Lonchura striata: one gene and its partners. The protein of the gene in region 1 interacts with the protein of each later gene in a pairwise test. Links are inferred from orthologs where the notes say so. Each region holds a gene or a part of one and is shown in the gene's direction. Other genes may lie near its edges. The genes, in order: PACSIN1, COBL, ANKRD24 and COBLL1.

What was found.
Region 2: the proteins of PACSIN1 (region 1) and COBL interact in binary tests that used the Homo sapiens proteins (3 or more experiments, as listed by UniProt). The link is inferred for Lonchura striata from reciprocal best matches to the Homo sapiens genes PACSIN1 and COBL.
Region 3: the proteins of PACSIN1 (region 1) and ANKRD24 interact in a two-hybrid assay, tested with the Homo sapiens proteins (2 studies listed by BioGRID and IntAct). The link is inferred for Lonchura striata from reciprocal best matches to the Homo sapiens genes PACSIN1 and ANKRD24.
Region 4: the proteins of PACSIN1 (region 1) and COBLL1 interact in binary tests that used the Homo sapiens proteins (3 or more experiments, as listed by UniProt). The link is inferred for Lonchura striata from reciprocal best matches to the Homo sapiens genes PACSIN1 and COBLL1.

What each region holds. Positions count from the first base shown.
Region 1 is NC_134632.1:4,264,830-4,271,982, forward strand, and holds the start of PACSIN1 (protein kinase C and casein kinase substrate in neurons protein 1), read left to right. Parts: upstream 1-4,135; 5' UTR 4,136-4,287; intron 4,288-7,153. Other genes in the region: RPS10 (small ribosomal subunit protein eS10), read right to left, coding at 1,595-1,766, 2,361-2,510. UniProt on the Homo sapiens protein: Plays a role in the reorganization of the microtubule cytoskeleton via its interaction with MAPT; this decreases microtubule stability and inhibits MAPT-induced microtubule polymerization.
Region 2 is NC_134603.1:68,806,056-68,813,082, forward strand, and holds the start of COBL (protein cordon-bleu), read left to right. Parts: upstream 1-4,025; 5' UTR 4,026-4,135; coding exon 4,136-4,179; intron 4,180-7,027.
Region 3 is NC_134630.1:6,746,341-6,754,296, reverse strand, and holds the start of ANKRD24 (ankyrin repeat domain-containing protein 24), read left to right. Parts: upstream 1-4,951; 5' UTR 4,952-5,022; coding exon 5,023-5,094; intron 5,095-6,057; coding exon 6,058-6,188; intron 6,189-6,270; coding exon 6,271-6,359; intron 6,360-6,655; coding exon 6,656-6,720; intron 6,721-7,038; coding exon 7,039-7,096; intron 7,097-7,173; coding exon 7,174-7,244; intron 7,245-7,426; coding exon 7,427-7,533; intron 7,534-7,609; coding exon 7,610-7,797; intron 7,798-7,956. Other genes in the region: SIRT6 (NAD-dependent protein deacylase sirtuin-6), read right to left, coding at 173-300, 1,638-1,703. UniProt on the Homo sapiens protein: Component of the stereocilia rootlet in hair cells of inner ear.
Region 4 is NC_134610.1:18,264,634-18,272,017, reverse strand, and holds the start of COBLL1 (cordon-bleu protein-like 1), read left to right. Parts: upstream 1-4,369; 5' UTR 4,370-4,495; coding exon 4,496-4,498; intron 4,499-5,979; coding exon 5,980-6,053; intron 6,054-7,384.

The sequences.
Region 1 (7,153 bases):
AAAAGCCACCAAGGGAAAATCAGAGCTGCAAGCCCCACACACAGAATCACAGAGCAGCTGGGGCTGATCTGGAGCTCACCCTCTTCAAGCCCTCTCAAGGCAGGGTCACTCAGAGCAGTGGCACAAGAACGTGTCCAGGTGGGTCTGGAATGTGCCCAGAGAGGGAGACCACCACACCCCCAGCTGCTCCAGTGGGAAGCTCTTCCTCATGCTGAGGTGGAACTTGCTGTATTTTAGTTTCTGGTCACTGCTCCTTGTCCTGCCACTGGGCAGCGCTGAAGGGAGTCTGGCAGCATCCTCTGGTACATGCCCTGGGCAAATCTGTGGGGATTTGTCTCCTCTCCTCCAGACTAACAAGGCCCAGCTCCCTCTGTCTCTCCTCACAGAGGTGCTCCAAACCCCTCAGCATTTTTGTGAGCTCTGCTGCTCCTCCACCACGAGTTTGCTGTTCACCTTAAACAAGGACCTGGTTGTATTCCTGTGGGAAATGGCTTTTTCCCCACCAGAGACCCCTGTAGCTGTAACCATGTTAGTTTAACCTTTCCTTCCTTTCTTGACCTAATTGGCTGAGAGCCAATTATATTTTCATGAGCAGGAGTCTAGACAAGGCTCTGTTCTCCCTTGTTCTCCCTTTTTCTCCCCTGGAAACTTTTGAGAATAAAAGTCTAGGACTACATTGGGGGTTAGAGCTTCTTTTGGAATCTTTTACCTTGCCCCTGAAATATTCCCCCAAAGCCTTCTCAGATCTGGGCTGTCTAGCAACTCCAGGGTGCTGTGGGGGTAAATATTTCAGGAGCCCTGTCCCAGGAGCACCTTCAGTGTCCCTGGGGAAGGCAGAGTGGGACACCCACCACTGGCCACAGGTGATGCCCAGGTGGGGCTCCAACATCTCCTCCACATCCCCATCCCATTCCTTGGGGAAGGCCAATCCCTGGGGTGGGACACAAACCCCGACCACATTTCCTTGCTCTGCTCACGATTTTACACCCAATCCCCACAGGTCTGGCACTGTCCTGGCTGCCCAGCCCCCTGTGCCCACCCCTGGCTGCCCAGCTGAAAGAGAGGAAAAATGTAACAGAGTAGAAATTAGAAATCCATTTAGATTTAAGTGAAATGTACCGCTTTGAGCTTGGTACTGAGTTGAGATGGTTTGAGTAAAATATGCTGTTTAGTCTAGTAACTGCAACACTAATAAAACTACCCCAGCTAAAGAAAAAAAAAAAGACAAATTTCCACACTAAAAAGATAAAAAATAAGAAAGACTCCTCAGACCTTTAAACAAGCAAAGTGACCCAAGAGTTCTTTCTATACTTTCTAACAAAAACTAAATACGAGTGTAACTAACTAGAAATGTAACACGAAATCAACAAAATGAATATGCATAAACCTATTTTTATATAAAATTCTATTACTATGCACAAACCTATTGTAAAATTCTATGAGTATAGAAATTAATAAGAGCAATAAAAATCAATGAAGTTATCAAAAGCGAGCCATTAAAGAACAACAAGTCCCCACGTGCGTCCAGCACTATAAATAAATATTGAAATGATGGAGTTTGAATTTTCCCCCACGTTTCCCAGCCCCAGCTGACCTTTGGGCCGGGGTCTGCCGGTCTCGGGGCGGCTGCGGCGCAGCGTGGCCGGGACGATTTCGGGGGGCAGGTGGAGGTAATCCCGCAGGTACTGGATGCCCTCGTTGGTCAGGTACCAGTAGAAGTGTCTCCAAGCAAACTGCTCCTTCACGTAGCCTCGGGACTTGAGGGACTGCGGGGAGAGCTCCCAGTTACTCCCAGTTCCTCCCAGTTCCAGCCTCTCCCAGCTCCTCAGCAGGGAAGGGGGACAGAAGGCAGTGAGACAGAGTGAAAATTGAATAAGGTAAAAATCTATTCAGATTTCAAGAAAATGTGCCACTTTGAGCTTGCTAAATATGCTAAATAAATTTAGTCTAGTAACTGCAGCCTAGCAAAACTACTAACACACTTTTGCACACTAAAAGATAAAAAAGACTCTTAAGATCTTAAAACAGACACGGCAGAGTGACCCAAAAGTTTTTGTTAGAAAGTATAGAAAAAACTAAGTACAAGTGTAACTAACTGTAAGTATAACGTGAAATCAGCAGAATGAATATGCATTAAGCTATTGTAAAATTCTATGCATAGAGAAATTAGTAAAGGAAATAAAAAAAGATCAACAAGAGTTGTCAGAGGTATGCATTATGTCCATTAAAGGGCAATGAGTCCCAACATGCTAAACATACCCATTCCCTACAAATCTTTATTAGAATGATGAAGTTTAATTTTTCATTCACATTACAATGGTGAAGTTTAATTTTGCAGCAGCAGCAGCAGAGCCCCCCACCTGCATGGCTTTCATCACGTGCAGGTTGGGCACGTTCTTGTCCACCAGCTCGGGGTGCTTGGCCATGTGCACATCCTTCTTGGCCACCATCACGCCCTCCTTGAACAGCAGCTCGTAGATGGCGATCCGGTTCTTCTTGGGCATCAACATCTGCAGGGGGCACAGCAAAACGGGCTCGGGGACCGGGAACCGTGCTGGGCCACCCCGGGACGCGCTTCCCGGGAGGGAAACCGGGAAATCCCAGCGTTTCCTCCGTAAATCATCCCGCGCACCCCCGCCCGCTGTCGGGCACACCGGGCAAGGTGGGGCAGGCTCGGGGAGAGCCCGGCTTGGCCCCGCCGTTAAGTGCAACTGAACCAGGGAACCGGGAGCCGGAACCGACACCGGCAGCGCCCCCAGCACGGGAAATCAGCTACGGGCGGTGCTCCCGGACCCACCGGGCCGGGGCTGTCCGTGCTCGGGCACGACCGAACCCCCGCGGCAGCGGCCGGGGTGGGACGCCCCGGTGCCAGCGCCGGACACCCAACCCCACCCCGCGGCCCGGCGCCGCCGGTCCCTTTCTCCCCGCACAGCCGGGGCGTGGAGCCCCGATGGGGGAAGTGCGGCGGGGGGCCCCCAGACCCCGGGATGGCGGCGATGCGCGGCCGATGGCCCGAGCGCGGCCTCACCGTGGCGGCGGCGGCGGCGGGGCCCGGCCGGAAAGGACTGCGCGTGCGCCGGCCCGCCGCTTCCGCCGCGCCAAGGACCCCCTCGGCGGCGGGAGGGGGCGCCCGCCGTGCTGCCTGCGCGGAGAGCAGGCCCCCTCCTGCCCGGGGAACGGGCTGCCCGCCGCGGTGCCTGAGGGGCACGGCGGGTGACCTCCGCCCCCGCGTCCCCACTCGTGTCACGCCTCCCACACGTCCCCACCCGTGCCATCCCCAGCCGTGTCACCCCCCACGTTCCGGCTGTGTCACTCGGGGCTGTGTCATCCCCCACGTCCCCATCCGTGCCATCCCCGGCCGTGCCACCCAAAGCTGTATCACCCCTGGCCGTGCCACCCCAGGCCGTGCCATCCCCCACGTCCCCGGCTGTGTCACCCCCGGCTGTGTCACCCCCCCACCCCCGTCCCCAGCCGTGTCACCCCCACCCGTGCCATCCCCACCCGTGTCACCCCCGACAATGTCACCCCCACCCGTGGCATCCCCACCCGTGTCACCTCCGGCCGTGCCATCCCCAGCCATGCCACCCAAAGCTGTGCCACCCCTGGCCGTGTCACCTCCGGCCGTGCCATCCCCAGCCATGCCACCCAAAGCTGTGTCACCCCTGGCCGTGTCACCTCCGGCCGTGCCATCCCCACCCGTGGCATCCCCACCCGTGCCACCACCACCCGTGTCGGCCCCGGCCGTGCCACCCGCAGTCCCCGCGGTGCCCGCTGTCCCCCGCCGTGAAGCGCTGCCCGGGACCCCGGAGAGCCGCGGGTCGCAGCCCGGCCCGAGGGCTCGGGGCTCCCGCAGGCACCGGGGCGCTCTGCTCCGCACACACCGGCCCGGGAGCCGCGATTCCCCCGACCCCGTCCGGGGCTGTGACCGGAGCCGTGTCCCCTGGGGCGCACCCCGTGTCCCCCCGGTGTCCCTCCCGTGTCCCGCTCCGTGTGGGGTCCGGGGGGAGCGGACACCTGAACACCGCGGGCACTCGGAGCACCGGAGCGGAGCCCGGGGACCGCGGGAGGGACCGCGGCGCCCCGGGGTTTATCGCCATCCCCTCGGCGGGCGCGTTGTCACCTTGCGCGGCCGAGGAGCCGCCGCGCCGGGGATTGGTCGGCTAAAAATGCCGCCCTAATCTCCGAGCTGATCTTTACCCCCTCCCTCCGCCCCATCTGCCGCGACCTGCCCGCGATGCGCAGCGCCGGCCCCGGGAGAGGCTCCGCCGCTGTCCCCGCGGCCCCGAGGTACGGCCGGCGGGGCGGGCGGGGGGCGCACGGCTGGCCCGGGGGGCACAGGGGGATGCCGGGGACCGGGGCGCTGTGACAGCGCTGTCCCCGCCGGTGTTTGAACCGGCTCCGCGCCCTGCTTTGGGAAACCAACCCGCGCCCGACCCGTTCTAAGTGATTCCCGACCCGTGCCGGACCGTGCCGGGCGGGGAACGGGAGGGATCGAGGGATGCGCCGCGCTCCTGGAGGTGCCCGGTGCCGTCCTGGGGCTTTGCTGGGTGTCACCCCCTCGTTTCTTCCTTTGGGACGGAGGTGTCCCACAGGGTGACCCGCAGGATGCTGCGACAATCGCGGCATCAGCCGGCCCGGCCCGCGGAGCAGGAGCTGTCCCCGCCGGCCGGACACGCTGTCGCTGTCGCTGCTGCAGCAGATCACAGCTCCTGCACCTCCTGCCTTGGAAATGGCAAAGCAAGTGCTTCGCTAAACGGATTAGAGCTCTCCCGGCAGCCTCCCCGGCTGCTCCCGCATCCCTCGGCCCCCGCGTCGCCTTCCCCGGGCAAACCCCAGCCCTAATAAGCCAAAAGGCCGCGGCCGCAGCACGGCAGAGATCAGCCGCTGCGGCTGCCAGCGCGCCTGACCCCGAAAATGAAGCCCTGAGAGTCCTGCCACCTCCTGGGGTTTTGTGTTCCCTTTGCAGGAGCACAGAGAAAATCGGGGAATTCAGCAGGCAGCGGCTCGGCCGGTGCTGGAGGTGCTGCCTGCCCCGGGGTCGCCCCTGGCCGCTTCCTCTCCCTCCTCTCCCGGGGTGTGCGGCCGCCGGAGGGGCTGCGGCAGGACGGGAGCGGGATTGAACCGAGAAAGGATTGAGGGAAGAGAGCCCAGGCACAGGCAGGGACCGACAGTGACGCGCACAGGGCAGGGCCACGAGGGAAGGGACATCAGCACAGCGTGGCAGCACCGAGCGGGGCTGTCCCGAGCCCAGAGCCTGGGCTGGGCTCTGGGTGGGATGCCCCTCGCTGGGAATGGCCTGTCCCCAGCTCTGCCGGTCCCTGCCAGGGCACGGCGATGGCACAGGGATAGAGCCAGGCTGCACCAGCACAGCGCGTGGCACGGGGACAGACTTTGTCCCGGGGATGCCAGCCTGGCCGGCGTTTGTGCAACACCTTGAAGGCAAACTCCGGACCTGCTGAGCTCCTGCGGATGGTGCTGGAGGAGGAGAGGCCGCCTCCAAGCCGGCAGCTTGCAGGGGCTGTGTCCCGCACAGCCGGCGGGGCCGGAGGCAGCGAGCCCCAGCACGGCTGTGGCCGTGGGTGGAATGTGCGGGCTCCTCGGGCAGCTGCCCGCAGCCAGCCCCGAGCTGCTTCCCTGGGAAAAATGGAGCCTTTATGTCCCGGCCCCAGCCCCTTCCCCGGAAGGGCTCGGAGGATGCCCCGGCCGGTCACAGGCAGACAAGAAGGGAATTGTTTCGGTGGGATTTGGGTTTCTGGGAGCACCTGCCCCGCGCGGGGCCCTCCACAATGGCTGCCTGTCTGCCGCAGAGCCGCCAATTATCCTCCGCGGCTAATTAGAGATGCAAAGTAGCGCTTGTATTCTCCCAGCTCCCCGGAGGGCTCCTGGGACCGGCGGCACATCCGCAGCGGCGACGCAGCCCGGGCATGGGGCGAGCGTGGGGCGCTGGCCCCATCCGGCCCCCCGAGCCCCAGCTGCCCTGGGAGGAGGCAGCGGAGGACAGGAATGGGCTCGGGATCCTGGGATTCCCTCTGCCCCCATCCACACCAGTCTTCCCTGGACCGCCCATGGGCTCTCCCGTGTCTCCCAGAAGCAGCTGAGCCCCATAGCTCGGGGCTCTGCCGGGATTTAGGGAACACATTTCCCTTCCTTGCTGGGGAGCTGGCTGCGCTCAAACCCCCCCCGGTTCGTGCGAGGGCCGGCACTCCTGCCTGGCTGATGGGCAGGCGGCTGATTCCTGGTGGCATCTCCTCATTCCTGCCTGCTCTGGCTCCAGCAGCCGCCGGGATCACCGTGTGGGCTCCTGTGCTCCGTTTGTGCTCACGGAGCTGTAATTCCAGAGCGGCAAGTGGCCCCATAAATCAGGGCTTATTTCCTGCCAATACCGTCTGCTGCTTCCCACAAGGAAACTCATTTACAGGAGGAGAAGTGACTTACCACTGAAAACAGTAAACGGTGGGATGGTGAGAGCCGGGGAAAAGTTTGTCGTGACCGAGTTTTTGGTGAAGGAACTGAGGAGGCAGAGCTCCCACCTGCTCCCTGCATGGAGCAGCCCAAGCTGCAGGGAAGGAGACCTGAGCTGGTGCCACCTGCGCAGACCACAAAGCTGGTGGCGATGGCTCTTTGCACTGGGGAACCCCCCGAGTCATTGAGGTCCCCCCATCACCATCCTGGAGAGCGTTTGTCACCTGATGTTTAATGCCAAGGATCCCTCTGCAGCAGGGATGCTGATGGTGCCTGGGACATCCCAGTGCTGAGAACTGCCAACTCACTGCTTGGAAGGACCATGACCAGATATTCAGCACCCTCTGAAACGCCAACAGGCAAAGATCCCCCGCTCCTAAAGGAACCAGCGTCCATCCCACTCCTCTTTGGGACTGGGGACATTAAATCTCCGAGGTGTCACCCCAGCTGCAGCAGGGCGTGAAACCTTCCGGGGGCTGTTCTGGCTGGCCCTGATGGGGGCTGGCTCGGGTGGCACGGAGCTGCGAGGAGCCGGGAGGCAGGCGGGCTGCAGAGCCCCACCGAGCTTCATTAGGCAGTCGAAGGAGCTTGTTAGGGGAAAGCTGAGCCGGCGTCGGAGGCCGGCAGAGCCCCCCGGGACCGGGTCGCATTCTCTGGGCAACCCGATCCCGGCGGCAGCGGCCCCGGCAGC
Region 2 (7,027 bases), on another chromosome or scaffold:
AAACAAAATCCCCAAAATTCTATGATTCTTACACTCAAGACTGCATCACTGTATTATAGCGATCAGCTTCAGTCCAGGTTATGTGGTTGTCTGCTGTATCCACTTTTAGCCACATTTAAAATAACCCAGTTTTTATGTCCTGGTGGCTGTTTAATGTCTTTTAATGCATTGTTCACAGAAACTTCACTTGTTCTATTCACATCATGTGTTTAAACCATTTCCCCATCTCTTTTAATGTACATCATGTTCCCACCCTGCATATGTGTTCTGAAATACTCTCTTAGACAAAAGGACCCTCCCTTTCCAGATTATTTTTACATGGCATGATGGTGCTCATTCTGCCCTGTGATTGTTGGTGCTGGGCCAGGACTGCATCACGCATCCTCTCATCTCCATGGTTTTTTGAAGAATGGGAGCTCTGGGACTTAAGGAAAAGGCCTAGCAATCCCTGAAAATCTAAATTCCTGTTTCTTTTTTTCCTTTTCACTATGGATAGCAAAATAAAGGAGTTTTGTGATCTTGAGGCTACACAACTCCAATTGCTATAATTACATAGCCAGGAATTTTACAATTGTGCAGTAAGTCAACTCTCTTACAGGGGCTAATGCTTAAATTGCAACTTCTAGATTGCTTCAAATGGGAAAAAGACTTATGCGGTTTAAAAAGTTTGCTATTAACTGAACCTAACCACAATAACTAACTTCTATTCACAATTTCTTCCTGCTATAAATTTGGGGTTGTTATGTTTTGCTTTGGTTTTTAGGCTCAAACCTGATTTCCAATTCTGTGATGGTCCTCAAACAGCTGAATCATAAAAAAATATTATGTGTTGGACTAGAGAAAAGACTTGGTTAACTGGTGCATACTAGCTAATGCTGATCTAATTTTAAGCTCTTTTTGCTATATAAACAAATTCTTTGGTATTAGACTTGTCTTACTAGATTCCTTACATGTTCAGTTACGTTTATACTACAAACTCAAATTCCTGAAATATTGCAGGCTAGTTTTAGTAGAAGAAAAATGTAGCCTTATTAGGTTGATTCAGTAATACTACTAGCAGCGAAGGTAGAGAAAAATATGAATAAGATTTTGAAAACTCTAAAAAGGCATAAATGTGAAATTGCACTGGTGCATCATTGATTTTTATTTTTTATTTGTAAAGGCCTAAGCTATTTTACTACAAGGATTTTATCATCCAAGTTAATTGATTTGCTAAGGAAATATATTGAAGAGGCCCATTGAAACAGAGATGAAGCTTTACAAACAGGAAAGGGTTAAACAAACTGGGAGTGCTAAACATGCCAATGTCACAATTTTATGACATTGGCAAATATTCATACAGCCCCTCTCCAAACTAATGCCCTTTGCCTTAACAAAGCAGCACAGCACCCCAGTTGTGGGGATTACAATGCACACTAGAAATAGCCCCTTTGCCCTTTTTAAGAGGGACACTCAGTGCCAAGCAGTCTAGAAAAAACAGATTCCCATGTTGCATCACACAGTGCACTCCTCACATTTCACTCAGCTTTTCCATCAGATATATGTGACTAAAGAATGGGGGACATGGACACTTGGCCCCATGGGTGCTCTGGAGACACAAGATCATGAGTTTGGTAATTAATAGGCTTTCACTCTTTTGATATGTTGTACAAAAAGAAGGGAACATAAAAAGCAAGTACTAGTCTGAGTGTTTTGTACTTTACACCTCTGCTCAGTTATATAAGGTTAGAAGTTACAGCTGAGTCAAAGTAAGTCCTTTTGGTGTAGTTTGCTAATGATGAAAATGGGGAAACATCTGGGTGTTTCTGCAGAGGTTTTTGTGCCTGTGCAGCTTTAGCAACTGTTCTAGAATAGGGAAGAGTACATTAAGATTTAGGAAAAAAAACCAGGAGACGAAAAATGACTGAACAGATGATGAACAGAGCTGTGAAATCAAGCTCACGTGATTTAATAGATGACCATTCATTCCTGCAGCTATGGAAACTGACAGCATGCAGTGGCTGAACCAATCCACATGCAAAATAAATTATGTAGCCTAGCCTATTTATTTTCATAACGGTGCAAATTAAAATCATGCATGTGGTTCATTACTGCGGCATGTATCTCAGATGACCAGGGTAATTACTGAACTGTGGTGACTCAGTCAACTTCTACCCATGGTAACAAGGAAATTAGAGATCAATGTTTTGCTTCTGCAAATTTGTGGTTTTGTTTCTTTACATACAACTAGGACAGGCAGCTGCCTCCCACAGGTACCTGCACATGTGGGCTTGGAGAGGAAGAAGGGCATGGAAGCCAGCATTCTTAGATGTCTGCTGAGGAGATAGGAATTAGGGGGAGACTTGAGGTTGTCAAAGTGAGAGAAGATAAAGTTAAGGATGATTATAGCACAAGAAGAGTTATGTTATACACTGGGGTAAATACACAGAATCTGGTATAATGCAAAAGCCTTGGTAGGCAAAAGTGGGCATTTACAGTGATATTCCAGTTTTCCAGAAAAGATGAACTTGTCTTTCACTCCTCTGTTACTTGCAAATTATCTGAATGTTTTGAAGTATTTTCAATCTTCCTGGGATGGGGTTTTCTTGCATATGGCAATGCCTTCAGCCACATGCACCCGTATTTGCCAAGTCTTGCTAGCTGAGGAAGCAGCTCTCGCTTTTGGAAGCAAAGAAGCTGCTTACATCTACTCTGTGTGGTTACTGAGCTGGGCAAGACACTTTCTGATGAACACAGTAGGCAGAAATATGAGCTCAAGACTGAAGGGATGGAAGGGTTTGAGGAAAGAGGTGACCATTAAGCAGAACAAGGCAGCCAGGTGAAATGCCAGGTAAGGCAAAAGCTCAGATCCTCATTCAGGTTTCTTACTGTAACTTCACTCAGCCGGTCTGACCTGCCTCTGCCATCCTCCCACCGTGGCCAGGAAAGCAAGATGACACAAATGGTGAGGAGCAGAGAAACTCCTGAATTACCTGGAGAAGCCAGTCTGTCCAACGCCGGGCACGCTGGGCTGAGGACACACACACAGAGCAGTACTGCCAGCCAGACTTCCCCACCTCCAGTCTGGTTTTGCTTTTACACACAGGTGTAGCAGTCGAATTCTGGGAAAATGATATAAGGGGGGATATTCCTAAAACGACACACACAGATTTTAACGCGATGCCCACGTTTCCACGAAGACTGTGCTGTTGTGCGCACTGCACCGCACGGGAAGTGGGGCTGTTTTTCCCATGCTGGGCTCGTTCCGCAGGAGGAAAAGCTGGGGAGAAGCCTGCCTTGCCGTGCCACGGCCCTCCAGCCCCTCTGCCTGACCACAGATGCCGCTAATTTTAAAAGTTGTGTGTGCCGCCTCCGAGAGAAGAAAAACATGTCCCTGTACGAACAGAAGTGACGAGAAACAGGCCTTAGGTGGCAGAGCCAGGGCTGGGCAGGGTGTGGGGCTGATGAAAAGCCTCCGCTCCCGGCGGGACTTAGTCTCGGGCACACTCGCCTGACAAGCTCTGGGTTTTGCCAAGTTCGTGGCAAAAGAGACGGAGGAGGGTCCTGGGAGCTGGCGCCGGCGGGGGTTTGTCGCTCCTCTCCCCCGCCTGTTATCCTATACGCTCCTCTCCCACGCCGTGCCGTGGGCGGCGTGGGCGGCCGCCCTGGCAGTGCCCGCGGGGGCGACCGCCGTGCTGGCGTTTGTGCCGGGCAGTCTCGTGGAAACCGGCTCGCAGCGCCCCCGCGCCCCCGCGCTGCCCGGGCAGCGGCCGGCCGAGCCCCGCCGCGCCGGCAGCTCCGCCGCCTGACTCCCGCCCCGCCGTGCCCCGCTGCGGTCTGGCCGGGCAGGCCGGGTGTCAGGGCCCGCGGCGCGGCGTGGCTTCCCTGCCGGCCGGGTAAGGCGGGCAGAGGCCGCCCCGGCAGCGCATCCCCGCCCGCAGCCCGCGGCCGGGCTGGGCAGCCGTGGGCGGCGGCGGCCGGGCAGTGCCGCCTGGCAGCGGGGCGGGGAGCGGGGGAGGTGGGGGCGAGGGCGGCTCTCACTCCCGTACTCTCCTCTCTTCCCTCCCTCTCGGTACCCCCGCCTCCGACCTTCGCCGCTGCCGGGATCGCGGCTTGCACCGGCCCGTCCTCTGAGAAGTGGCGAGGGGGCCCGGCCATGGAGACCCTCGTGCGCCCCGGGGCCAGCAAACCCCCCACCGGGTAAGCTCCCGCCGGGACCCGGGCCGGACCGGCCGCCGCTCCTCTCCACGGGCGGGAGCGGCTCCGGACGGCGACAGCGGCCGCGCTGGCCGGCGGGCCGCGGTGCCTTCCCTCCGTCCCGCCTGTCTCGCTCCCCTCTGGGCGCGCAGGTGTCGGCGTCCGGCCCGCTCGGAGCACAGCCCTGGGACGGAGGGGCACGGCGGGGAGCAGGAGGCGGCAGGGCGGTGAGCTCGGGTGCAAAAAGGTCAGGAGCAGGAGAACGTGCCTGCTTCGCCTTTGCCCTGCGGGAGGGGCGCCCCGGCCCGGCTGCCGGCGCGGCCCCTCCGGCTGCGAGACCGGAGAGCCGGTTCGGGTCGGGACTTGTTCCCTTCAGGAGGTGGTTCGGGGCGGCGCTGCGGGACGAAGGGCAGCCGCTGCTTATAGCTCCCGACCCGGGCCACCGGGGCTGGAAGGGACACTGGCAGGGAGGGAGCCGGGGCTGCGGCGGGGCTCCGGGCAGACCGGTCCGGCGGAGGGTCCGGGGAGCCCCCGCGGCCGCAGAGGTTCTCACCCATACGCCCCGTCTGCCCCAGCTCTAGGACTCAGCTGCCAAAAGCCTTTGAAAGGTTTATTCAGCTGTCCCAGACGTGGGTCTCAGCCCTACCTCACGGCTGCGGCAGAGGAAGGAAGAGCACTGCCAACCGCGAATTAAAAGTGCCCAAAATTGTCCGAGGTTGGTGGGAGACGGCGGTGGCTACTCCTAGTACCTCCTGCCTTGGGTGACAGACACCGTTCTCGCAGCACTATTGCTAAGTAGCGGTCAGCCCGAGTGCAAACCGCGGGAGGGTTAGGGGTTTTTCAAGAGAACAGACAAGTAGAAGATATGCCAGCAATGGAATTTGTTAGCCCGTTAATTAAACGACGAGAGCAGCAGCACGATGAGGTCCTAAGCGATCTCTTTTGTCAGAGCAAAAGCTGGGCAAGTTTTAAGAGCTGTGCTGTCTGCTCGCTGCAATTTACTGCTCTACTTCACACTGTGCAGACTGAGACTGTGAGTGCTTCAGCAGCTTTTTTTTTTATTTTTAGTTCTAATATTTATATCATAAATTTATTTTCAACAAAGTAGGAAATAGCTCAAAGTACGTGCTAGTGGGCTACAGTAGTTTTGTTCAGTTTCATTTCCTTAGTTTGTGTTTAATAGGGAACCTTGTAGTGTACACAGAAAGCAGTATAGGGAGCAACAAGTGAAGAAAAGATGCCATTGCTAGTGCCGTGGTAATGAAACAGTGTGTACCATGTTTCTTTGACGTGCAGAGTATGACATAGTTTGCTGCTCTTTTTGTAAATAAAATGCTTAATTCCAGCTGAACTTGAGCCTGTTTGATCGTGACCTTTTAGGCTAATCTTCCAGGAAGAGTGGTAGATGTAAGGTGCTTCCCCCTCTCTGTATTTAGTTGATGTAATAGTATAGCTGCTTTCTAAAATCCTGATGAAGAGGAGATCTATGGTGCCAATTTACATGTGTGCTTTGAAGAGTAATGCAGTGCTGACTAAAAATTTGTCTTGATTGCTAGGTATCCAAAGACTCATTAAAAAAATTTAATTTGCAATGGGAAGGCATGTCATTGATGCATTTCAGAGAGGACCACTGGGGCCTGTGGGCATTTCTGAATAAAACTCCTGAATCCTTTTGTAACCAGTTTCATCTGTGTCAACTTGTCCGCAGCCACACAGACCCAGAAATCCCATGCATGAATAGAAGTTATGGTAACTGCATTAACTTCAGTCATGTTGCTCCTGACATGGCTCAAGAAGACGAATCCAGCCGTAGGGTGAAGATGCACTTGTGATATTGTATAACAAAGTGTGTGGGTGCTAATCTGCTCATGTGGAAGCTGATGGCAACACTGTCATGTGCACCAAGAGGTGACTGCCTGTTTTATCTGAGCTCATTTCATCCTTGAATTACTTTGTGTTGCCTTTTCTTCCAAGTCAGACCTTCCCAGCCTGGATGTGTCTGCGCTGTTAGCAGAGTACTTCACTGAATGGTTCATAATTCCCTCAGTTTCTATCATCCATAATGGACACTGGTGGATGCTTGATCCCTAATCAGATTTTACTCACACATTGATGAAATCTGTTAGGGTCAGGAAAGTGCAGCAAAGTACAGCTTTGTCCTTTTCGGTTTCCATATGAATCCAGGCGTGTACTGCATCTGTGGAGTGCGGCTGAGGACCTCTGGCTGCTAAGGCCGTTGTGACAGAAATACCTTCCTTTCATGGCAGAAGACATGCTATACAAGTTTCCAGCTTATTGATTGGCTTAGCTTGCAGCTATGAAAGGAAGGTTAAAATGACCGTAGCTTCAAAATTTTAAAAAAATTTAGGCAGAGGTGTTTTGTCTTTATGTAATCATTAACAGCAACATTGTGACCCTCCTTTGTTAAACAGTGAACAAATTTAATGTATCATTTTGTGCAGGGTAGAGCAGCTCTGCTGTGTGCTTACACAGATAAATTGATTATGTGTGTTCCACGGTACAGTTCCTTGAGAGGTGCACATTTAAATGAAGGATACTGTTGGGTTTTTGTTTTGTGGGTTTTTTTGTTTTGTTTTGTTTTAAATGGCAAAGGAAAAACTGCAATTTGTGCTGGTGTTGCAAGGATTTTCCAATTTTTCAGTTTCAAAAAAAATTGCAGATTTCAGAACCAATAATTTTATTATTACTGATTGCTAGGCATAACTTTTTTAGAAGCTTTACCTAGTTCATAATGCTTTATTTAATGAACATTTATTTTGGTTTACAAAAGTGAATTTAAGGCAATCAGTAGCAACAGTAGAAATGACAATTTACTCTGTGATTATGCAAT
Region 3 (7,956 bases), on another chromosome or scaffold:
AAACAATGTGGGGATTCTGTGGCAACAGCTGAGATGTGCAAGAGGGAAAATGGTGTTTGCAGCTGGATCCAGGACGGACAGCAGGAATGGGGCGGGTCTGGGATAAATCAGAGCTTTCCATGAAGGAAGATGGACCTGGAGGAGGTGCCACCCTGCCAGCCCTCGGACTTACCTGAAGTCAGGGATGCCCGAGGCCGTGCTGATCCCTGCTCCTGTGTGGAACACCACATGGGAGGAGCTCCGGATCAGCTCTGCCAGCTCCTGCACCTTCCGCTCCAGCTCCTCCGGAGGGTCAAAAATCTGGGAAAACACAAAAACCAGCATGGGATGGAGAGATGTGGGCATGGATTATATGGGGAAGGAATCCTTCCCTGTGAGGGTGGGGAAGCGCTGGAATGGATTTCCCAGAGCAGCTGTGGGTGCTCCTGGATCCCTGGGATGTCCAAGGCCAGCCTGGACAGGGCTTGGAGCAACCTGGAATAGTGGAAGGTGTCCCTGCCATGGCAGGGGTGGCACTGGATGATCCTTCAGGTCTCTTCAACCCAAACCATTCTGGGATTCCATGATTCTAGAAGCCCAGTAACCCACAATTCTTCCTTATCCATGAATGATTTTGCATTCCTTAAGGACAGAAACATTTAATAGGAGAGACTCCACGCTGCCTGGAGCATCTCGCTGCAGGGACAGGGCTGGGAACTCCCAGCACCAACAGGGAGTTTGCTGCTCTGGCTGGCAGCTGGCCCAGGCTGGGCTCCAGGAGCCACCCGGGGCCACCCCACATGTGCCCCACTGTCACCAGCAGTGCCACCAGCTCTGGGGACAGGGCAGGGCCGAGGGACAGCGAGGGACACCAGATGCTGGTTTGGGCACGGGATTTAATTCCTGAGACACTTCTCCAGCCCCATCTCTGGGGACGGGGACGAGGACAGGACCCTGTGTGTCCCTGTCCCCTCACCATCCCCTGGGCTCAGGACGGGCTGCAGTGTCCCTGTGGCTCCCCTCAAACCTCGTTTTAGGCTTCCCAAACTGCTGGGGCTCAGGGGGGACACGGAGGGAGCCAAGGGGGCTGTGGGGGCAGAAGGAAGGACCAGGGTGGGGTCAGGGAGGCCATGGAAGGGGACATGGAGAGGGGACATGGAAGGGGACATGGAGAGGGGAAATGGAGAAGGGACATGGAGAGGGGACATGGAGAGGGGAAATGGAAGGGGACATGGAAGGGGACAAGGAGAGGGGATATGGAAGGGGACACGGAGAGGAGACATGGAGAGGGGATATGGAGAAGACACATGGAAGGGGACATGGAAGGGGACATGGAGAGGGGACATGGAGAAGGGACATGGAAGGGGACATGGAGAAGGGACATGGAAGGGGACACAGAGAGGGGCCGAGGGAGCCGGGGGCGGCCTGGGGGGACATGAGGGGGACCAGGGAGCCATGGGGTGTCGGGGACAGGCACCCAGGGAAGGGGGACGGGGAGGGAGCCGCGGGATGCGCTCGGGACACACGGCGGGCTCGGTGCCCGCTGGGTTCCCGAGGCCGCGGTTGCCATGGGGACGCGGCGGGCCCGCGGGAGGCCCGGCGGGCGGGCGGGGGCTGCCCCGGGCGGGCGGGGACGGCCCCGGCGGTGCCGCGCTCACCTCGGGGAGGCCGCACTTGCCCTTGTCCGAGTACGGGGACAGCCCGGCCGCGTAGCTCACCGCCATCGGCGCGGCCGCCGCGCGGCGGAAGAGCCGGGAGGGGCCGGGCCGCGGGACCGCCCCGCGCCGCCGCCGCCATCTTGGAGCCGGGCAGGGCGGGGCCGCGGGACCGCCCTGCGCCGCCGCCGCCATCTTGGAGCCGGGCAGGGCGGGGCCGCCCCGCGCCGCCGCCGCCATCTTGGAGCCGGGCAGGGCGGGGCTGCCCTCAGCGCGGCCGGGGCCGACCGGGACTGCCCGGGACCGACCGGGACTGACCCGGGACTGACCGGGACTGACCCGGGACCGACCGGGAGTGACCGGGAGTGACCCGGGACTGACCGGGACTGACCCGGGACTGCCCTCAGCGCGGCCGGGACCGCCCGGGACCGACCGGCAGTGACCGGGAGTGACCCGGGACTGACCGGGACTGACCCGGGACCGACCGGGAGTGACCGGGAGTGACCCGGGACTGACCGGGACTGACCCGGGACCGACCGGGAGTGACCGGGACTGACCCGGGACCGCCCGGGACCGACCCGGGACCGACCGGGAGTGACCGGGAGTGACCCGGGACTGACCGGGACTGACCCGGGACCGACCGGGAGTGACCGGGACTGACCCGGGACTGACCGGGACTGACCCGGGACCGACCGGGAGTGACCGGGACTGACCCGGGACCGCCCGGGACCGACCCGGGACTGCCCTCAGCGCGGCCGGGACCGACCGGGACTGACCGGGAGTGACCCGGGACCGCCCGGGAGTGACCGGGACTGACCCGGAGTAACATGGGACTGAACCGGGACCGCCCGGGACTTGACCGGGAGTGACCGGGACTGCGGGACACTGCCCCGACATTGACCCGGGACTGACCCGGGACTGCCCGGAACTGAACCAGGAGTGACCGGGACTAAACCGGGACTGACCCGGGACCACCCGGGACTGAGCGGGAGTGACCGGGACTGAACCGGGACTGACCGGAGTGACCGGGACTGAACCGGGACTGACCCAACACTGCCCCGGGACTGCCCGGGACTGCCCTGGCACTGCCCCGACATTGCCGGACACTGCCCCACCTGCACTGAACCCCTGCCCGGGGGGACACAGGATGGGCAGGGGTGCCAGGGATGGACAAGAGGTGCCACCAAGAGCAGGGGATGCCAAGGAAGGAAGGAAGGAGGGACAGGGGGTGCTGGCAAGGGCAGGAGTGCCAGGGCAGAGCAGTGGCTACCAGGGAAGGACAGGGCGTGCTGACAAAGGCCGGGATGGCAGGGAAGGACAGGGGTGCCAGGGAGGAGCAGGGGTGCCAGGGAAGGACAGGGGTGCCAGGGAGGGACAGGGGTGCCAGGGAGGAGCAGGGGTGCCAGGGAGGAGCAGGGGTGCCAGGGAAGGACAGGGGTGCCAGGGAGGGACAGGGGTGCCAGGGAGGAGCAGGGGTGCCAGGGAAGGACAGGGGTGCCAGGGAAGGACAGGGGTGCCAGGGAGGAGCAGGGGTGCCAGGGAAGGACAGGGGTGCCAGGGAAGGACAGGGGTGCCAGGGAGGGACAGGGGTGCCAGGGAAGGACAGGGGTGCCAGGGAGGAGCAGGGGTGCCAGGGAAGGACAGGGGTGCCAGGGAGGAGCAGGGGTGCCAGGGAGGAGCAGGGGTGCCAGGGAAGGACAGGGGTGCCAGGGAAGGACAGGGGTGCCAGGGAGGAGCAGGGGTGCCAGGGAGGAGCAGGGGTGCCAGGGAAGGACAGGGGTGCCAGGGAAGGACAGGGGTGCCAGGGAGGGACAGGGGTGCCAGGGAGGAGCAGGGGTGCCAGGGAAGGACAGGGGTGCCAGGGAAGGACAGGGGTGCCAGGGAGGGACAGGGGTGCCAGGGAAGGACAGGGGTGCCAGGGAGGAGCAGGGGTGCCAGGGAAGGACAGGGGTGCCAGGGAGGAGCAGGGGTGCCAGGGAGGAGCAGGGGTGCCAGGGAAGGACAGGGGTGCCAGGGAGGAGCAGGGGATGCTGACAAGAACACGAGGTGCTGTCAGAACCAGGGGCTGCCAGGGTGGGGAAGGGGATGTCAGGTCAGGACAAGAGGTGCCACCAAGGGCGGGGGGTGTTTGGGATGGGCAAGGGGTGCCAACCATCAGAGCCCAGCCCTCCCCAGCACCCCAGGCCGTGTCCCTTGTCCCCAAACACGGCCCGGCCCGGCCCCCCCCCGCCTGCCCGGGGCTGTAACCGCAGCCGCGGCCGTAATACAATCCCCGGCTCCGGTTCCCGGCTGCGGGCGCTGCGCTGGGAACGCCAGGACGGGCTGGGAGCAGCGGGACCGGGGGCGCTGAGCTGTCCCCAGGCAGGGACAGACCCTCCTGGAGCGTGGCCATCCCTCCCGAGCAGCTGCCACGGGGCTGAGGCTGAGCCACCATGAAGAGCCTGAAGGCCAAGTTCAAGAAGGCAGATGTGAGTGCCATCCCTGGGGACATGGGGACACGGTGACCTGCTGCAGGGTGTCTGTGGGGACACGGGGATCTGCTCCAGGGTGTCTGTGGGGACACGGTGACCTGCTCCAGGGTGTTTGTGGGGACACGGGGACCTGCCCTGGGACACGGAGTGGTCGCTCACAACGGGGACAGCAGTCCTACAGAAGTTGGCACTGCCACTCTGGCTGGTGGGATCAAGCCCCCAGTGCACCCCCTGTGCTCCCAGAGCCATCGCTGGGAGTGGGGCAGAGCAAAGGAGAGGGAAGCAGATCCCAGGTCCCCTCCCTGTCCCCCTCCTGGGGACAAGTGCCACTTTGCCAGCTGCCACAGCCCGTGGAACCAGCCTGTCGATGCTCCTCAATTATTCAGCAGCAGCCTGGCATGGGGCCGCAGAGGGCAGAGGGGGACAGCGCTGTCCCCAGTGCACTGGGAGGGACACAGCAGGGGACATGGGGACACAGCTTGAAGCCCCTCACCCGGAGTCTGTGGGACCATCCTGCTCGGGGCGCTCCATGCCTCAGTTTCCCCACACTGCCCTGGACACGTCCCTGAAAGGCTCCCGATGTCCTGCTGCCAGCGGGACTGCCCGGACAGCGTCTGGGGACCCTCTGCGTTTCGGGGTTCCTCCCTGGAGGTGTTTGGGGGGTCCCAGGTCCCCCCATCGGGGGCCGGGAGGATGCTCAGGATGCTCAGCCCTGCCTGGGAGCCGCTCCGAGGCGGGATGCAGGGATGCAGGGATGCAGGGATGCGCTGAGGAGGGAGGGAAGGAGGGAGGGCCGGGGGCGGAGGAGGCGGGTCCGGCTCCCACTGCCGCAGCCCCGGCCCCCGCCCGGGCGGCGATGCCGGAGCGCTCCGGGCTCGGGGGTGCCCGTGCCGGCCGGGGCGGGGAGCGGGGGGCGCATGGCGTCCTCCCGCCGCCTCCTGCTCAGCACCATGAAGCAGATCTGCCTTTGTGCCGCCGCCTCCTTCGCGGTACGTCCCGCTCCCCTCCCGGCTCCCCTCTGCTCGCGTCCCGCGGGCTGAGCCGTGTCCCCCCCGCCCCACCTGCACCCCACATCCCCATCCCCATCCCGGGGCTCCCCGTGTCCTCCCCATCCTGCTTTGTCCTTGCCTGGCCAGGGAGTGGGGGGAGCGGGCACCACCCTCCCAGTTTGCCAGGAGCCCTGGGAGACTGGTTTGCTCCCTGTGCCTGGTCCCACCGGGCTGGAGGGGCTCGGGGGCACCCGGCGGGCACAGGCGGGTTTGGGACAGGTGCCAGCGGCTCCCGAAAGGTGACATCCATTTCCTGCCACCGCGAGCGCAGCCAGCGCCGCTTTGTCGTCACGGGCTGTGGGGTGAACCCGGGACTTGCAGTCCCTGTCCTGGTCCTGTCCCACTGCGGGTCCTCCTTCGGGACAGGGAGCACCGGGAGAGCAAATCCCAGCCAGCTGCGGTCCTGTTTTGGGGGGCACAGCGCTGTGCCCCGTTATCCCGGGAGGCTGGGGCATCCCTGGGGATCTGCTCTCGCTGCCAGCTGTGCTCGCCCTGGTTTGATCCCTTCCTCCTCCGGGAGCAAAGCAGGGCTGGGAATGGGACTCCCATGGGTTCTGACTGGGTTTAGTACTGGGATTTCAGGGTGGCAGGGGCAAACCCCTGTACAGTTGGGCTCAGTCCCAAATCCCAGCCTGGCACAGCTAAACTGGGCTGTGTCTGTAAATCCCCCACTCTGTGAGCTGCAAACTGGGGGACTGGAGGGGATTTTCATCCCAATCCCTGCTGAACTCTCCGTACCTGGGAGTGAGCTCGGAGGAGAGGGGGACAGACACGGCCACCCCCAGGGACAGGGCTGGAAGGGGCACAACAGGGCTGGGGACAAGGAGAGCCAGCCCAGCCCAGCCCTGGGGACAGCACTGTCACAGCTGACACTGTCACAGCCTCCTCTGGGCCCTGTTGCAGAGCCAGGACTGGACCAAGAACGACGAGAAGCTGCTGCAGGCCGTGGACTACAACGATGCCGGGCGGGTCACGTCGCTCCTGCTCCGCAAGGGCCTGGTGCCCACCAAGCTGGACGCGGAGGGCAAATCCGCGTGCGTGCCAGGCCCTGCCCTGGGGACACGGCTGGGGACAGGGGACATCCTCTGAGTCCCTCAGCCCCTGGTCTCGCTGTAGGTTCCACCTGGCCGCCACGCGGGGCAATGTGGACTGCCTGGAAGCAATGCTGGCCCACGGCGTGGATGCCATGACCAAGGACAGCTCGGGTGAGGGCATGGCCACCATGTGCCCCTGCCTAATGCCATGGGCCACACAGGGCCACTGGTCATCCCCAGGTGTTGAGGATGAGGGGACAGAGGTGGTGGCCACACCTGGGGGGCTGTAAATTGTCCCAGTTTCCTAAAGGAGCTCTATTATTGCTTCATGAGCTCCTGGGGTCGTTCCCTTCCTGTTCAGCCCCATTCCAGCAGATCCTGCTTTGTGCCTGTCTCTCTCTGTCCCTAAGCTGTCCCCTCTGGCACAGCCCTGCTGGCCATGCTCTGACCTGTTTGTCCCTTCCCAGGTTACACTGCCCTGCACTTGGCCTCCAAGCACGGCCACCCTCAGTGTGTCAGCAAACTGCTGCAGGTACAGGGAGAGGGAGGAGGGACAGAGGGAGGGAGGGAGGTGCTGTGCCAGCACGGTGTCCTCCCTGTCCTTGAACCCCCTTCCCTCACCAGTGCCAAGGCATGGTGGTTCCCAGCTCTGTGCTGCTGCCTGGCACCAGGGAGCCACAGGGGTCTGTCCCTTGTCCTTCAGCACAGCGTGGAGCCAGAGGGGGTTGGTCTGTCTGTCCCTCTCCTTCACCACACCACAGAGTCTCTCAGTCCTTCATTGTGCCACAGAGCCACTCGAGCAGTCTGTCCCTCTGTCCCCCTCCTCCCGTGACCCAGGCTCTCCCCGCAGGCCTCCTGCCCCGTGGACGTGGCCGATGGCAGTGGCCGGACCGCGCTGCACCTGGCGGGTGAGTAGGGACAGTGCCAGCCCTGTCCTGCTCACGTCCCCGTAGGGGCAGCGCTCAGCCTCTGTCCTTGTCTGCAGCTGCCAGCGGCTGCATCTCCTGCTCCGAGATCCTCTGTGACTTCAAGGCTCCCTTGAACAGCAAGGACAAGGTGGGGTCACACTACTCCTGGTCCTGCTGTGCCAGGCTGGGGCTGTCCCAAAACACAGCACCGCTTGGGGTGGGATGTGGAAATTGGGGTGGGACGTGAAAATTGAGGTGGGACGTGAAAATTGGTGTGATATCGGGAGGATCTGAGTCTCCTCTGCTCATCCTTCCCCCTGCCATGCCCAGGACGGCTCCACGCCGCTGATCCTGGCTGCCAAGATGAGCCACTCGGAGCTGTGCCGGTACCTGCTGCACCGCGGGGCCGCCGTCAACTGCCGGGACCTGCAGGGCAGGTGGGGCAGCAGGGCCGGGGCCCGGCGGCGGCCGCAGGGATGGTTCCCTCCTCACCCACGCTCTCCCCGTGCCCAGGACAGCGCTGATGCTGGCCTGCGAGAGCGGCAGCGTGGACACCGTGGAGGTGCTGGTCAGCGCCGGTGCCCGCGTGGCCGTGGTGGACGCCACCGGCCACGACGCCGCTCACTACGGGCTGGCCACAGGCAACGTCCTCATCCAGCACCTCCTGCAAGAGGCGGCCCAGCGCCGCTCCTGGGCCAGCGGTGAGGCTGCCGGGCCGCCCCGGGCTCCCTGCCACCGTCGGACAGGGCTGGCAGAGGCTGCGGGGATGTGTCCCCTTTTCCTGGGTGTTTGGGGCTGCCTTTGCCTGTGCTGTCCCCAGCCTCTGCTCTGAGCTCTGAGCCTCTAAATCTCCCCAATTT
Region 4 (7,384 bases), on another chromosome or scaffold:
CTTCTGCATCATAGGTTTTGGACTCATCCTTGGAGGATTATGACGATAAGGGTCAGCTGTCTTAAGTTTTTACTTCGGCAGAATCATAAGATGGTTTCACTGAACATTACAAAACTGGCTTGGCATGTGTGGTTAGCTTATGCTAAAAAAGCATGCCATACAGATAGATATTTTTGTCTCTTTTGGATTTTTTTAAAATCATGTAGCACTTGGTTGTTCATGTGAAAGAGAATATTTGTGTTCTAAAAACAAATGACACGCACACAGCTGTGTAGCCAAGTGACCCAGAGAAAATGAGTTCCCATGATCTATGTGAATGTGCAAGTGATGGGGACCAGAACTTGTTCTTTGTCCAGTAGTTCAGTTGTGCCTGGCCTCAAGGGAACATGGAGTCATGCTCCTCATCCTGTTAACTTTCGATGGGAATGTAAGAATGTGCTTCACAGTGCTGACTAGGAATAGTTGTCTGCAGGGTTTTGTTTGTCTTTTTAAAATTTCTTCTATCTAAATTCTTGTGGGTTGTGCAGAAATTTGGACTAAATACTGATTTAGGAAGAGTGTTAAATTGTGTGATACTGCTGTTTTTACAAACTGGACATAAATGTTTTGCATTGCAGTGACAAGAGCTATACAGGCATTTATTTTCTGTCCTTTATGTTTTTGAACAAATACTTCTGTTCAAGGATAGTTGAAAAATGAAGGGAAGTATTTAGTAATCTGCATAAATAATTAACTTTGAAGTTCTGAGATACCTAAGATGTGAAAACATAGATTATATTTGTTTGGGTTTTTTTGTTCCACATTGGGTGAGACAGGGCTAGGATTGGTAGAATCCTCTCTTTGGTATTTAATTTTATGAGTCAAAATGTGACTGTTTCTTTTTTATTTTTTCCATTGTGGGATTGTACGTGTGTGTGACCTCCTGTCTAGAGCTGAAAATTCTGTAATGGCATATCAGAGACAGAGTGGTATTCCAGTTACTAATGTCCAACTAGGAAAGCTTAATGCACTGGCTAGTTTCTGCTGTCCAGAAGCATTATTCCAAAGCTGTGAAAAATATGCACAAATTAACTGTGAGCACTAATGTGCCTTAAATAAGGAAATTAAAAAAGCAGAAAAAACCATAATTCAAATAAAAGACATACTGGTTACTTCCATATGTCTTCTAAGAACAGTTTCCTCAAAGTTCATACTTTTAAGGATATGGCCTTGATGAACAATGTACCTACTTCCCAAATTTGTCCACTTTCATTTAGCTGTCGATTAATAATGGCATAAGTGTCAATAGAGGGACACAGACTAGTCTGTTGGAAGAATATTAGATTGCATCCAGTGTGTCCATTTTTTGTTTAAATAGTTACTCTATTAGAATTGATGGAGTTCACTTCCATTAGTTGCATTCAGCACATGACCTTGCAGTGTTGTATGTAAACAGTATCATAGCTGATGTTGAAGTGATGAAGTGACTGAAGTGTTCGAAGTACAGTTACTCAGTGTCTACACACCAACAATTCAGTAGAACCCCTTGCTCTCCCATTCCTAGAAGAGGAAATAATAACAGACAAATCTTGATATTTCCTTTGAGTTTTGTGGTTGGCTGGTGGTTTGTTTTGGTTTTTTTTGGTGATTTTTGGGTTGTGGTTTTGTTGGGTTTTTTTTTGTATGAATGGGAGGTGCCTTAATTACTTTTTGTATTAAATACATGATTCTTAAGCAATATTGACACCAGGCACTGATGTTTTGGCACCAAAATTAATTTATTTTTTCCAGGTCACTAACTTTTTAATTTAGTCTTTGTGAGGCAGAAACCCTTTATTAGCATGTGGAGTGCTTTAGTATGAGTCCGCGAAGTATACAAATACATGCTCAAATCAAATTTATATAGCTTTGGCAATCAATACTATTGCATAATCATCTGCCTTATCTAATGTTAAAGTCACAGCTATATTGGCATATGTTTTTGTCCATAAATTAATGTTATCACATCTAATAGCAAAATAATCTCCATATATAAATAGTTTTAAAAATACAGGGAGCAATCTCCTAGCAGGAAGACTGTGTTGGCAGTTGGAATAGTTGCCAGTCCACTCTTGAACTTCTGTCTGAGGGAAAAAATTTAAACTTTCTATTTTTTTAGAATTCTTTTCCTCTGGAATTAGAAAAACGATAGCAAATGAATTGGAGTTCTAATTTATTATGGTGCAACTGAACAAAAATACAATATTTGCTTATTTTCGATTGTTACTGATTGTACTTTCAAATTGAAAACTTAAATTGATCTAGGACTCGAGCAACTAAAATGGCTGTTCATAGTCATATAGTGTCTATTAGTTCAGAATCTACTGAAATACCAAATTTATACTTTGAAGGGATTTTTTGTTTTAGAAAGTAGAAAGTAACTTGCGATCCTGGATGACTTCCAACTCTCCTTTGAAAATTGGTTAGTTCACTAAATGAACAGGAATAGTACTTTTTGCAACTGTTTCTGCTTTAACTGAAATAGCTGAGATTTGAAATTTGAGAGAGAAGAAGCCAACAAAGCAGATTAAACAGACTTGTAAGTTTAGTTTTGAATTACTACTGTGCTAGTCATCTAGTTTGGATGAAATTAAGTATGATTCTTTTATATATGAGAAGGAAAGTGTTTTAAAAGCATATGATAGTTTTGAATGCTGTCTTAAGACTTTTTCGTATACTTTTTTAGAAGTTAATTCTGTCCTTCCTTTCAGAGGGAGATCTGTTTGAGATTTTGCCATCTCAACATTAATAAAAAGTCATGGTATAAAAAAAATTCTTTAGCTTTTCTGTGAAAATGCACATGCTTTGGAAAGATTTTTTTCTTAAATTGCTTCAGAATGAACTGACAAACCTAAAATAGTTATCAATTCCTAGCCTGTCTTTACAATAGCATTCTTGTGTTAATATTCTTAAATACCATTTTATTAATTTATAAAATACCCAGACATTTCTGAAGTAGGTGCCTCTTTTATGATGTGATTTATATTCTAGGGATAGTTGTTGCTGGAAAATACATTTGAAGGAAAACTAAAAAACCCCTCCTGTTTTATACAGATGGGATTAGATACGCTCTGATTTGTCTGGAAAAGAATAAACAGCCAAGTAGTTTCAAAATACATCTTACTTGCAGTGCCACCCTGTGGCTTTCCTTTTCATGGCTTCTATTAAAGCAACTGGTTTTTGTTGTCTCATCCCCAGTGGGAAAGTTACTTGTGAACTTATAAAATAAAATGTCTGTGCTCCTAGCTGTAGACCTGGTCTAACCAGGATAGTACAGCACTTTTTTTTTTTTTTTGGCCTATCTTTAGCATTATTTGTCCTTGCTGAAACCTTCTTAGATTAAGAACCAGAAAGAGAATTTCTGAGCAATACCAGTTCATTCACCTAGTGGATCAAATCACTAAGCAATGCCTGGTTTGGTCATTGAAAAGGAAAGATCACACTGGAACTGGAAAGCAAATGTGTCACTTCTCAGCAGTAACTTGAAGGGCTATAATAATTGGTCTTGTTCAGTTCCAGCAATGTTACATATGCAAATATTTTATTTCCAGGTAGTCAGTTTTCTAGACAGATAGTTTAACTTTAAAATTAGATTGTCTAGGTAGACACAATACTACTTGTGGAGATATTTTATTTTGTATTCAAGACGTCTGCATTTTTGTTGATTTAAACTGAAGGATGTCAGAGCAACTTTGCTTTTAAAAGCAGTGTTATGCTTTGAAGTAGTAGTGCTTTGCCTTGCACCATTTTACAGAGTTGCTCAAATCGTGGCAGGATAAGTACTTGAATGCTTAAGACTGGTTTTCACATATAGGAAGTAATATAATGTGGAAGATATTTCACAACAAGCAAGCACGTAGGAAGTAACTTTTCAGCGCTACCCCTGCTTGGCATATCTTGGAGACGAAAAGCTTTCCTTCCTCACAGCCAGCTTAGGTTTAGTAACATCTCTAAATGAAAGGCAGGGTTTTACTTGTCTTTATTTTCTTGCTATTACTCTGTCAGGGAACAGCAGAACAGCCCTGCTGCCCAGGTGGGAGCAGTGACATCCCTGCCCAGCGGGGGCCTCGGCAGCATTCCCTGGGCTTACGGCCACTGCCCACCACCTCTCCCCAACACCCCTAATGCTGGCCTGCCACTCCCTGGCGCTTGGATACGTATTTGAGTCGGTGCTCTTAGTGTTGTAAGAGTCGTTATTGTAGCAGTTTGACCATGCTTTCAGGATTTTCTAGCTGCAGAAGTGTTCATTTGAACAAAGGACGCTTGCCACGCGTGCTGTGCGGTTGGGCCGCTGGCGCTGCCCGGGTTCAGTGCCTGCCCCAGAGCCGCTCGCGCTGTGCGGAGGCCGGGCGAGTGACTAAGGGACAAAGCAAGTCTGGGCTGGCAAAGCCGCAGCAGGCGTTACTGAGACACCTCTGCCTTCTGCGTCCTCACTGAGCGCTCTGTTTTCAGCAACAGAAATGAAAAATGTCAGACCATGGTAAGTCTCAAGCTATATACTTTCAATGTGTCTAGGCTTTTTTTGATAAGCAAGTGCTTACATTTGTCTCCTAATTACAAAAGTTATACTTGGTCTCTTTTGGGAAGTGAATGCTTCTTTTTCCAAATTAACATATTTTGTGTGTAAATTGTAAGTAGACCTGTATGAACGTGTTATCTGAGCTCTTGCAGAACCTTAAAACCAGCAGTGGAAATATCTGATGCTACAGTCCATACTCGTAGTTGTACTGTTTGTTGGAAAGTTTTGTAGAAAACGCTGGAAAGTGAGAGATAAAAATGCAGTTTTCTTCTTTCAGTGTTGTCAGGATGATTCCATTCTTTGTAAAGCAGGCTTATGTTTTTTTATTATATTTATTATAAATGCAGTGTGTATTTAAGCAAGATGATGAACAGAAAGCTTACACAGAAACAGTTAAAAACTGTACTTTATTTTTGTCAAACAGTTTTGAGTGTCATAATACTTGCAGTTAAATACACATTTTGGTGAGTCTGGATTTCCACATAGGAACAACCAAAGGTAGAAGTGGATTTGAGCAACAGGGACAGAGAAGTTTTTGATTACTTGTCTTTACTTAGGAAGCTTGTTTGGTCTTTCTACTGCACATCAAGCTTCTGAGGTAGTGGTAGTGTGTAAACTTAAGTGTCTGTGATTTAAGTTGCAGACACTTATATAATAAGTGTATTAATATTATAAATATATTATATTATTGCAGAAGTCCTTCAGGCTTCAGGCTGCTCTAAATTGCAATGGAAGGAACAAGTTAATTGTACTTTAGATTTTGGGTTTTGTTTTTAAAATGACTCAGGTATAAGTCATGGACAGTTCTGATTACTCCTTAAAACAGAAGACAGACTATGGAAATGTTCACATAAATGTGCGTTCTTTTGTATCACAGGTCCTGACTTGAGTCCTTCCTTTATTAGAATTTTGCCTGGCACAATGTTTCCTTCAGTACTACAGATCACAAAAGAACTGTAATTTTTTTCTTAAGAAAGTTTATTTCAAAACTTGTATACTTGTATCAAATTCTCATTAGTCTTAATTTTAAATAAAAGCCCTGTTAGTGTTTCTAGTGGCTTTTCACTAGGAAAGAAAATTGCTGCTTGCTCTTGAGAAAGTGAAATTCATGGCTGTGCTGTAAGCCCTGCCATATCCTTTTGATAGGTACTTAAAAACCCAAGGAAAAAAAATTTTGATACATTCTGTTCCTTGGATTCTGGGATATGCTGTCTCTAACTTGGACTGTTTGATGTTTTATAGGAAAAAATAGTGCCAGAAATAGTCACTTACTGTAGCTGTTTGCCTTTCTGTTGGAGGCTTGCAGTGTTTACAGGGCTACAGTTAAACACTGAGTCATAAACACTTGGTATATTGTATTCCTAAATTCAAAACTAGATAATGCAGATAAAGCAGACCAAATGTTCTGTGACTGTAACCATAATAATGTAATGCTTTTCTAGCAGCACATCAAGACAAGACTCCTGGAAACACTGGTGAACTTGCTGTGGTATAAGAGGCCTATTACTGCTACTGAGTAAATATATTCCTTTCTCTCTCTCTTCTTTTTCTATTTTTTTCCCTTTTGCATTTTGTAGAATTTCAGTGTTTATAGTCCACACAAATGGAAGTGTTTGAATATTTGTATCACCCCCTCTTTTAATCTTTTCTGGGTAGGTAGAAAATCAAGGGCATGGTCCAGTTACGTGAACAGCTTTTTAAGAACTTGGAATTTATTAGTATACAAAATTTTGTTAAGCATTTCTATGCCATTACACAGAGCAGAAGTCTGCACAGGCAGTACAGCACTGTGTGATGAGCTGAATGCCCATGCAGTGAGGGACAGTTACGGAGCAGATTATCTGGAGTGATATCATGTGGCATGTACAGGACACCCAGGGGATCTGTCAACCAACATGGTTTTGGTAAAGGTAGGTTCTGCTTGACCACCTTATTGTACTTCTGTGACAAGGTCTAGTGGATATTGCTTCCCTGGGCCTTACCTGGCCAGTAAAGCTTCTGATACCATTTCCTATGGCATTCTCCTGGGAGAATCTGTGGCTGCTGATGGCTTGGAGGGATGTACTCTCTGCTGGGTCAAAACCACATATAATAGAGACTGAATGCACTTGCACTTCTTTATATTAACCTAGAATTAGGGTTTGAAGCAGAGAAAACCAAATGAGCCTTTAAAACATTTTTTTGGTACAAATAACATTTTCATCATGCTGACCTGTTGCGTTTTACCTTCTTTGAGGTATTTTAAACTGTTTTGTAATGGTACCATATAATCTCTGCTTTATCTAGAATAAAGACTGTATTTTGGAAGGCATATTTCCTTATATTTTTTTTCTTTGTTAATTTGAGCTTTCTTCTAAAGAATGATAGAATTCTCAAACATGATTAGCTGCCCCTTCCAGAAGCTGGTGTAGTACACTCCCAGTCTCTGATACTGATACCAAAGATAGATGCTTATCTGAATTAAGAAGGTTATGTGCGTGCGTGTGTGCGTTAAGAAAGAATCGTATTGTTCTTCCTCATTCCTGTCTTGTGGGTAACAGGGAACCTGAGCCATGTTCCTTCCCACACGCCATCTTTGTAGCAATGGACTTTTGCTCCCCAGACAGCCTCTTACCCCTCTGGAATGAAGATCCTCACGTAAATCAGTTTCAGCTTCTGTAAAACAAAACTCTTATCTGAGTTGTTTGATTTCATCATTAAAATGGGGAGGACTTTCTATACAGATTTTAGTATTTATCCTTGTAGTACAATTAACTGTATAATTTTTCCATTGTCTTGTGTTCACTTCACTTTGAAGAAGTACCTAAACTCGCATGACAAAGTTTATAACTGTAATATAATAATCAA